Danio rerio: one gene and its partners. The protein of the gene in region 1 interacts with the protein of each later gene in a biochemical or structural test. Links are inferred from orthologs where the notes say so. Each region holds a gene or a part of one and is shown on either strand. Other genes may lie near its edges.

What was found.
Region 2: of the proteins of ube3a (region 1) and faf2, one has a biochemical effect on the other in vitro, tested with the Homo sapiens proteins (2 studies listed by BioGRID). The link is inferred for Danio rerio from reciprocal best matches to the Homo sapiens genes UBE3A and FAF2.
Region 3: the proteins of ube3a (region 1) and esr1 form a complex in vitro, tested with the Homo sapiens proteins (2 studies listed by BioGRID, with this or other methods). The link is inferred for Danio rerio from reciprocal best matches to the Homo sapiens genes UBE3A and ESR1.

Annotation. Positions count from the first base shown.
Region 1 is NC_133181.1:41,335,964-41,339,625, forward strand, and holds the end of ube3a (ubiquitin-protein ligase E3A), read left to right. Parts: intron 1-1,810; coding exon 1,811-1,931; 3' UTR 1,932-3,235; downstream 3,236-3,662. UniProt on the Homo sapiens protein: E3 ubiquitin-protein ligase which accepts ubiquitin from an E2 ubiquitin-conjugating enzyme in the form of a thioester and transfers it to its substrates.
Region 2 is NC_133189.1:56,134,201-56,137,862, reverse strand, and holds part of faf2 (FAS-associated factor 2), read left to right. Parts: intron 1-1,285; coding exon 1,286-1,457; intron 1,458-3,662. UniProt on the Homo sapiens protein: Plays an important role in endoplasmic reticulum-associated degradation (ERAD) that mediates ubiquitin-dependent degradation of misfolded endoplasmic reticulum proteins.
Region 3 is NC_133195.1:29,090,284-29,093,945, reverse strand, and holds part of esr1 (estrogen receptor), read left to right. Parts: intron 1-1,533; coding exon 1,534-1,757; intron 1,758-3,662.

The DNA of each region.
Region 1 (3,662 bases):
AGTAGTAAACTAGCGATCAGTGTTTCTTTTCCCCTCCATAACCTCCATGTTTTAAATACACAGTTGAGATGTTACACTGTAACAATATATACATATAACAACAAGCTATGGTTGACCCGAGCTTAAACAAACCTTGTCGTCATCTTGTTGAACAGCTACAGAGCTGTTGCGCAAAAAAACAAAGGGAGAAGCCGGAAAAACAAAGGAGTAAATGATTGTTTCAGCAACCTAAAACATGAACAAACTGCTGTGTTTAAGTATTATATTCACTTCTAGACTATTATGAACCCAGAATGACGGAATTACTTTCTATCAAGAGGTTACATGTGCTGGTGAAATTAAAGATACAGATGAGAGATTTGCACTGACTGTGAGCTATATGTTGCAAGTTGTTTTTTTTAACCCAAATAAAGACTAAACATATGCTGCGTGTAGTTTTTCTGTAACTGGTAACTTATCGGAGACTGTAAGGGGCTGCATGTATTCATATATATTGCATTTATTTATTTATTTATTTATTTATTTACCTTATATAATTGCAGACGTTACAGTAGGTTAATTCACACTGTCATTGATCTGCAGTCATAATCAAATCATGTTCATTGAAAGGTTAGTAATGAACACTTATACTTAAGTATTTATGTGTATAAAGTGTCTGTTTTGTGAGAAATGCTTCTCATATGATATGTGAACAGCCTGTACAGCTTTACTGTAGACATTTTCTTGAGCGAGAATAACATCGACTGAAACTTTCTGTCGTACACCATGCACACCAAAAGAGTACCACTGATACCCTTTTAGCAGTGGAAACGCAAGCCTGATAACGGTGACCCATACTGTACCACTCAGTGGAAATGGGCCATAATACAAGCTGGGGGCTGCTCAAAGTGCTTTACAGCATTAAAACAAAATTATGCATTAAAACAAGAATGTCAATAACACAGCATGTTGCACTACTGACAGTGCAACATTCATGATAATACAAAGTTTTATAGGGAGGGTATTGCACAGTTTTGGACATGCCACTGCAACCTGGATCTGGGGACCTCCAGCAACAACTGGCCTGCTGATTGTAGGGCCCTGTTAGCTTGATGAATCTTTAAAATTGCACATAAATGAGAAGAATGACTATGATGGGATCAATTAAAATTTCTAGAAAATAAAAACCCATCATTTTTAGTTACAGAAAGCAAATCTTTAAATCCATATCCAAAACACATGTTTATACATTTACTATCATTTTTTTAAATCAATAACCTTTTGGCTCTGACTATACGTGGGATGTATTTTTTCATATAATTATTATTAAGTTATTTTAGTGTCACTAAAATATTTAGCCTCTTCTTAATGTCTCACAGCTTTATTCATTGTATTTTGTTGTATTTCATGTAAAATCTAGTTTCAAAACGTTGCTTTAAAAAACAATTGTAACATCAAGAGCTTAATGTTTTAGTTGAAAAAAATCACTTAGTTCACCCAAAAATAAAAAAATAAAAACAAAAGAAAATATTATGAACATTTCTGGAAACCAGTAACCAGTAACCTGTGTTCTTGTAAGTTATGCCTATTTTAGAAAATTACAAATCTTGTGATTTAAATAAACCTAAAAAAAAAAAAAAAAAGTTGAATAATATACAGATTTTGTATGCTTTGTCTGTTTTTTTGTGTGTGTGACTAACCATCATCAAGTTAATCTCAAATGTTACCCCTAAGAAATATTGTGTAACATTTGTTCTGTCTTAAATACTAAAAATAATGGTGAAATAGCTGTTGAATTAACACCTTGTTCTGGTCCGCCTGTGTTCTTCAGGTTACCCACCTCTCATACCTGCTTCAACGTGCTGCTCCTCCCCGAATACTCCACCGTGGAGAAACTTAAAGAGAGACTCCTTAAAGCCATCACTTACGCCAAAGGCTTCGGCATGCTCTGAGGCTAAAGAACTCACTCTAGCCCTCAGAGGAGAATCAGCTACATCCACAACTAATCGTAAATATCAAGTTTAAATGTAAGGCAACATGAAATGGGTTCAAAATGGGGAAGTTCTGGTGACCGTGTGCCTGTGCCTAAAAAGTAGATAAAACCACACTGGACTCATGGCTCTCTCTCTTTCTCTGTCTCTCTCTCTCTCCCTCTTATGTAAGTGTTCAGGTTCCCTTTTTTTTGTATGCACTGAGATATAGCGTTATTTATTTTAAGGGATGAAATCTCTTGTCATGTCTGCCAGGAATTCCACACTTTTGTTGCTTCATAGTCATAAAAACAGGAGGGACGGTTGGAAGTTTTCAACGGCTGCAGGACTGATCACCAACTAAACTTAATAAAACAAGATCAAAGGGAGGAGGTGGAACTTTGTTGTATTACGGTTGAACTGTGAAAGTGCACTTAACTCTATTCAGAATGTCTTTGTTTTATTTTTGATTTTTTTTTGTCAACCCTTAGGCTTTTCTTTTTAGTTTTGGCTCGTGCTTCATTGGTCTTCCCTAGTTCGTTCACATTTGCGGCAATGTTTGAAAGGTACAGAGCAGCCTCAGTCTCAGTTTGGCATCCAGGAATCTGTATTTATTGAGAATCTGCATTGTTTGTAATGCCGTCGTGCTGCTCGTTTATGGCCAGTGTTCTGCATTTCGCTTCAGATTCGACTTTTTCTCTCCCTCACACACAACTGACCGGTTTGCTAAAGATCACAGTGGTGCACTCCTGCCGAAAACGAGTAGTGTTATAAAGGAGAGATCTCAACTTCCTATAAAACTCTGTCAGAAGCTTCCTACTAGTGTTTGTTTGTTTTGTTATCTGTCTTGTTTTAATTCAAGATGGCAGACTTTTAGTCCATGAATGCTAATTGACGGTGCCCCATGAAGAAAGCGTTTTAGTTGCGCTTTTTTTTTTCTTTGCTCTGCACAGTATCTGGCCCGATACATTTGGATGAAAATGAGGGGAAATTGGCACAAGTCGTACCACTATCTTGTCGTGCCAAACAGTTATGCTGAGAATCGCCGCTCCGATTTTGTTCAGGCGTAGCTGGTAATCCAGATTAGTGATGCCCTGTTCACTTTTTTTTTTTTTTTTTTGTTTATTTTGTTTTTCCTTATTCCCTCTTGCAGATTAAATGTGACTGTGGTTTGATCCACTGCTGATGGCGCTAACATAAAAGGGGGAAACAGAACTTGATATTGAGAATGACAACATTTGATTGTTTCAAGTTATTCTTAAATAAATTCAAAACTGAAAAACAAACCGTGTGTTGATATGTGGTCAAGAAATCATGTGATGCAGCTTTTGGGGTCTTTTGTGGTGTGACACAATTAAGAAAACTTCTTATAGCGGGAAATGTATGGAGCTAGTAATATGCCAAAACAATCTGAAATGTGTTCAGTTGAATTATTGATGTTTGTAATTTTTTAAATCTGCATTCTTATGCCGTTAAAATGGTTTTGAATTTAAATTTCTTGATTTGAATTTGAATTTCATAACTTGAATATTGAACATCTGAAATTTAAGATGACTGAATTTTTCAAGGCTGAATTTTCATAGACATATTTTCAAACATCAAATTTTTTTTGTTCTGAATTCATAGACTGCAGATATCCAGTTTGTAAAAATACAGTTTCACATTTTCAAGCAATTCTAAACATCAAATTCAATATCCTAAAATTCAAAACCA
Region 2 (3,662 bases), on another chromosome or scaffold:
TTATTGATTATAAAGATTTTTTTTTATCCATTCAAGAATTATTATTTTTTTTTTTATCAAACTTTGATGCGTCACTTGCTTTTGTTCATATCTCAGACAGTTTAACCTATTAAAGTTAAGTATTAAAATATTAATGACAACAGAACATGGGTTACTCTACAAATATATATAAATGTATGTATGTATGTATGTATGTATGTATGTATGTATGTATGTATGTATGTATGTATGTATGTATGTATGTATGTATATTTTTATGTTATATTATGGAAAGCATAAAAGTTATATGCTTAAAAGGCAATAATGGTCCAACGTTCCTGACCATTATCACTAATAATGCCTAGAAAAGCAGGACATTGGTGTTTTGTAAACCAATATGTTCAAATATACTTTTCCAGTTAACAAAGAAATAATTGTGTTGCTTCATTTTAGTTTTGTAACTATTAAATTGTTTTAAATTCATAATGCAATATACACACATCAGTGTAAAACCCATGAATGCTGAAAAAACATTCTCCACACGGGTCTCCACTTTTTCCATGACCTCTCTTTTTGGTTTAACAAACTTTATCAAAAACTTTCCTCCTTTCATCCTTAGTATTTCTTTCGAAACCATTAGCACTATGAAATATGCCGGTAAATATCATATCATATATAAGAATAAATATCATAAGTAGAAGAAAAGAAAATCCAAATCTCTTTGTCAGAGTTATCATATGACACATTACCAGTATTTTGAAGTCAGTTACTAAAGGTTTAAAACAGAAGTCACCAATCTCGGTCCTGGAGGGCCGGTGTCCCTGAAGGGTTTAGCTCCAACTTGCCTCAACACACCTGCCTGGATGTTTCAGGTATACCTAGTAAGGCCTTGATTAGCTTTTTCAGGTGTGTTTGATTAGGGTTGGGTTGCTAAAATCGGCCCTCCAGGAACAAGTTTGGTGACCACTGGTTTATATTTATGATTTAATGACAACGAAAATTGCACAAAATAATAGAAATTTAAATGTTAATTTTAAAATAAAATATTTTTAATCCTTTTTAATTTCAATGCATGCTGCAGTGTAAATACTGTTTAATTTCAAAATAACGACAATGTTCAAATTATGCTCATACATATGGCAAGAGGAGTCATTTTTATTTTGATATTATGCTGCAGTAATTAAAACGAACATTAAAATAAGCTAAAGCATTCAAACATTGTTTTGTTTTATGCAATCGGGAATTTAGAACCACTACTTTAATAAATACTTCTTTATTTAATTGATCGTGTTTTTGTGATTTGCAGGGAAGAGAGGAATCAGACGCAGGTATTGCGACAGCAGCAGGACGAGGCTTACGAGGCATCACTGCGAGCAGATCAGGAGAAAGACAGAAAGAAAAGAGAAGAACAAGAGCAGAAACGGCAAGAGGAGGAGAAAGTACGCCAGACCGTCCTCGCAGAGGAGAGACGACGAAGAGTGAGTGCTCAGTATTATATGCAGAAATTTCACAAATGCTTAAGTCTTGCCTTAAAAGTAGGGCTGCATGATATTGTAAAAAACGTACATTGTATTTTGCAGTCTTTCCTGAGATAACTTAATAACTTGAGATGTTTTAATCTGCATAACTTATAATAAACAAATTAAAAGCAGATATAAATAATGTAGATCGAATATACAAATGAAGGAGTCTAACATCATACAGGTACAGAAATAGAATAATCAAATGTATAATAAAGCTGTATCTTCTTCATTGTATAAATAATTAAATACAATTAATCTTTGTTAATCCTTAAAGACCGAAACAGCCGCCCGTGGCTAAAAAACACTATTGTTTTTTAAATGTTTAATATCTTTTGATCCGCTGATCTGATCCGAATTTAAAGATTGGCATAAAGAGGAGAATCTTAGCTCTCTATTGCTGTAACACATTGCATTCACGGACCTTCAGAGGCTCTGGATTCAGTGTGGTTACGTCATCACATTTTGACAACGCTGATTTGACAAAGGAACGCTCGTGGCTTGTGTCTCCGAACAAACCAGACATGATGCATTGATGCATTGTCCCTCCTCCATGCCCAGATTGGTTTAAACTCGCTCTCTCTCCACCAATAAGCATAGGTTTTGCTTTGGTGGATAACCAATCAACTATTTGAACAACCCGGAATGAGAAATAGGCTGTACATTTACGCACGGCTAAATAAAACGCAAAAAGTTTTGCATGAAATAATCCTCATACTGAGTACTTTTGCATGCACAACAGCACAGAAACATTACAAAACAGTGACACAGCAAAGACCAAGTGCTGGTCTTGCTGTTTTCAAAGCACGCAAATAGCGGTGCGGCTGTTTGTCTGCAACACTAAAGTTGAGAAGCAGCAGGGTCAACACCATATGCTGGCTCAAAAAACCTACGGATGGTCCATATTGAATCTATTTTAGTTATGTAACTATTCATAGTATAGTAAATGATTATATGTATTTTTTTACTGAGGATTTGCACCATGTTTATTTGGACTTTGACCATTATTTATAATTTTCTTATTTTTATTTGTTCATTGTAAGTGGTGTTTATGGTAACTAAAAATATGTTTGGAAAACGCCAAACTTGCTTCAGTGTTCTGTTATTTTGTAACAATCTTTCTGTTAAGTTCATTCCCAGAACTTTTGGGCAGATACACTGTCAGTAAATAAATGCACTAGTTTTTTCTCACTGAAAAACGACTTAGAATAACATTGAAATAAATTGCTATAACTTGCTCAGGGAAAGGTGGATGTAGACAATTTATTTTGGAAGTATAAAACATCATAGCGTGTATTTCTAAAGAAAAAAACAAACTTCATAAGGTTTTGTTTGTAATAACTAGAAAATGCCACTTTAAAAAAAACAAAAACGTTTTCCTAAAATTCTGGAATATTTTCTGTCTGTTCATATGTTTTTGGACCAAAAAAAGACTGGACCTTTAAATAATACAGATTAAAGCTTCAGGTTTTCCTGTTTAAAATATTATATGACACTTGAGGCTGACTGCTAAAATAAAAATAAAACTGCTTAAAAAATAAAATAAAATAAATATATATATATATATATATATATATATATATATATATATATATATATATATATATATATATATGTGTGTGTGTGTGTGTATATATATGTATGTATATATATATATGTATGTATATATATGTATGTATATATATGTATGTATATATATATATATATATATATATATATATATATATATATATATATATATATATATATATATATATATATATATATATATATATATATATATATATATGTGTGTGTGTATATATATGTATGTATGTATATAGGCCCATTAGGTGCCCACAAAATACCTCTAGATCTTTAGGGGTTAAAGCTACACACATAATCATTCCCGGTGCTTTAAAATGTTTAAACATGCCTTAAAAACTCAAGCAATTGTTGAACATTCACTTTATTATGGTTCAACCAAAATGACTCCAATATTTCTTATCTCAACTGTTATTTAACTACCTCCTTAACTATAATCCTGACTCCACATTGCACGTCCTGCGATGTGACTATGGCAAATTTACACATTGCAATAATGATATAGTCATAAGTTGCTGATGTGACAATAAATAAACAAGTAAACAAACAAACAAATGCTTAATCAAAATGAAAGGATTC
Region 3 (3,662 bases), on another chromosome or scaffold:
TATAATTTAAATATTATTTTAATAAATATATCTGTTTAATAAATCTGTTTTGTTCCAAATGCACCAAAATACATTGATTATATCCACTGAGAAATGGATGAAAATATTAATTTTCAAAATGTGGTGTACTTATTTATGCTTAGCACATAAACTAACAAAAAATATAAATGCGTCTCTATGTGGATGTGTGTTTGATGTTCTGCAGAACATTACACTTTATTTTACTTGTTGTTAGTTTATGCTTTATGTTTGTGCTGTTAAATATTAGTGCTCTTGATTAGAGTAGATCTTGATTTCTCGGAAAAGAGGTTAGGACAGTAAACACTTGAGTGCAACATGGGGACTGAAGTACACCAGTCTTTGAAAGAAGCGTAAAGCCTCTCATCAAACTCTGTCTTTAGACCTTGAGAAAAGTACAATTAGTTCTGTCTGAACACAACGGAGAACATTTTTCACGTTCAGACGAACTGAGTGAGATCAAGGGACAGCAAATATTGAAGACAGCATTATAACCAAAGCATGTTGTCTGAATAAAACTAGTCTTCTTTTTTAAAGGCAAGACTGCTTGGAAACGTCATTTGTCATTTGGTGACACTTTAGAACATTTCTGAGATCATGCAATCAATCTGCTGGACATCAGAATTAAGACATAATAAATATTTACAAACACTGGAACAAAGGGTCAAAAGGAAATGGAGATAGTCACACTTGCCCCCTGTTTGCAGTCACGTACATATTCTCAATGCACGCTGCCAATTTTACTTTTGAAAACTCTTCTGATTTTCTAGAACTGAATTGTCCATATACTCTAGGGTGTATGCTTCCATAATGGTTATCAGATGACCCCTTTTCACTATATTTTGTGCATGCTTATTTCCTATTTTTTACATTCAAAATCTAGTTTAACCCTGTTAAATGTGATCTTTATTTTAGAATTTACTTTTTAAAAGGATGAAAATGATTACAAGTTAACATTAGCATTTTATGTTTATGGCCCTTTTCGTGATGAAATTTAAACTTAATTAAAATAAATAACACATTATCAAATGACCCCTTTTCACAATTTTTTTTATTCATTCATTCATTTTCTTGTCAGCTTAGTCCCTTTATTAATCCGGGGTTGCCACAGCGGAATGAACCGCCAACTTGTCCAGCATGTTTTTACGCAGCGGATACCCTTCCAGCCGCAACCCATCTTTGGGAAACATCCACACACACTCATATACTATGGACAATGTAGCCAACCCAATTCACCTGTACTGCATGTCTTTGGACTGTGGGGGAAACCAGAGCACCCGGAGGAAACCCATGCGAACGCTGTTACTATTTTTTGCGCATGCTTATTTCCTCTTATTTATAACCTGATTTACAATTATAATCTAGTTTGAGATGTGAGAGATGACTAGGAGGAGTGCTAAAATAAAACGCCACCCTCCTCATGTTCATATAGACTTTAAATACTATTGCTTTAATAATTATTTATATGAAGTGTAACATCTAGTGTATTGACTGTTCACCTCTGTTTTTGTGCAGGTCCAGTGTGGTGTCCTCTCAGCAGGCAGCCGTGGGCCTGTGTGAGGAGCTGTGCAGTGCCACTGACAGGCAGGAGTTGTACACTGGATCCAGAGCGGCTGGAGGCTTTGATTCAGGGAAAGAGACTCGCTTCTGTGCGGTGTGCAGTGACTACGCCTCTGGATATCATTACGGAGTCTGGTCGTGTGAGGGATGCAAAGCTTTCTTCAAGAGAAGCATTCAAGGTGACCAGCCTGTTTTACATGCAGTCTTGTTGTTCTGAATATCAGCAGGGATGTGACGCGGCTGCAAATAAAAAACAAAAACAAATCACAGCTTTGTTAATACACTGTAAAACCCAACAGTCAACTTTATCAAATGAAATGACTGTAGCTGACTTAAAACATACTGAAAGGTAATTCTACGCATTTGAAAAGAGTTTTGAACTCAGTGTTGAAAGTAATGAGTTAAATAAATACTTCATTTCTTTAACTTAAATGGAGGAAGGATTAGCTTTGAAACTTAAATTGTTTGTTGGAATCGGTTTACGCAAACTTCTGCAAATGTTACCTTAACTTTTTGGGTTTGACAGTTTATTCACAACAATAGATTGCACGTTTCATCTTGCTCATACAATACAAATCAAAAGTAGATATCATGAATTTTACATTGGTGGTGGGGGTTTTGTTTTAAAAAGTATTTTATTTGTATGCTTAAAAAAAAAAAACTAAATATTTACATTAAACATAAATCAAACCCCATAAACAGCCAATATTGGTATAACCATGTAAGAAAACATCACCTAAATTTTTCCATGACTATGACCAAAATACCTAAACATAGGACATTTTTCAAAAGTTAAACCTGAGTTTTGTGTTTTTGTAACTCTGTCTAATTACACTGCAAAATGCTGCCAAGACACAAGACTGGATGATGCTATGATTTGCTATTGCATGTACACAGAAAAAAGTCAAAACGGCAATTCATCGATGGATTTGCTATTGCATGTTCACATAAAAACAATGCAGTGAAATGAAATGCAAAAATTTGTGCTGTTTGAATCACCTCTTTGTGCTGTTAGAGTGCTGCTCAGCTAATCAAAATCAAGGACCAACACTTACACAATGTCTTGCATCTAAATATGCATGCTTTTCTATTATATATATATATGTGTGTGTGTGTGTGTGTGTGTGTGTGTGTGTGTGTGTGTGTGTGTGTGTGTGTGTGTGTGTGTGTAGCAGGTAACAGTGCAAACTGAGTAAATTGTCTGATATCACAGTAATCTTTAAACAGTTATTAAACTTTTATGTTTCCTATATATGTTGTTTTATGTTATGCTCCTCTCATGTTTCCATGGTGTCCACAGGGTCCAATAAAGTTATGTCTTAAATTTCAAAAACTAATCTCAGGCCCTTAAATATTGTCTGGTAGGTCTTAAATCATTTTAAATGGGTCTTAATTTACTTTGTTTGTGTAAAGCTACCCAGTCAATTCAACACATATCCTATGGTGCCTGGGCCCTACTGAAATTGCTCTGGTTATTGTAATTAATATTATAACAGCTTGTTGTGCATACATTTAGTTTATTAAAGGTTTTTTTTTCAAAGCGTTTTTTTTTTTTTTTTGTATGTTTACAACTAGGGTCTGCTTGTTTTGAAACATTTTTTTAAAATATGTGGCTAAGAAATAACTAATTAGAATTAGAATTTTGATCAGGCAAGTAAAAACAAAAATTTTATCTGTGCCATTTTTAAAAATCCTTAGCGTTTAGCCCTATACAAGTCTACAATTTCATTCTTGATTTATTATTTTTGTACTTTTTTTCAACAAAGAAATTTTAACATAATTTTATGGATTTTGTTTGGCAGCCATAGCTGCCAGTCATTTGACTTTTTTTTATTTATCTTTTTTTTTTTTTTTTTACAATTTTCATTTTAAAAGTGCAACTAATTACAATATATTACTTTAATTTTACATTCTTTTATATGAAAAAAAAAACGGGAAAAAACACTGTAAATAATACTGCGATTTTACTGTATAAAAACAGTCAAATTGCTGTAATTTGTCATTAATTATATTATACATAAAATAACAGTCAGGCTGTTAATTAACAGATATTGTTTGTAATTTTTACGGAGTTTTGAATATAA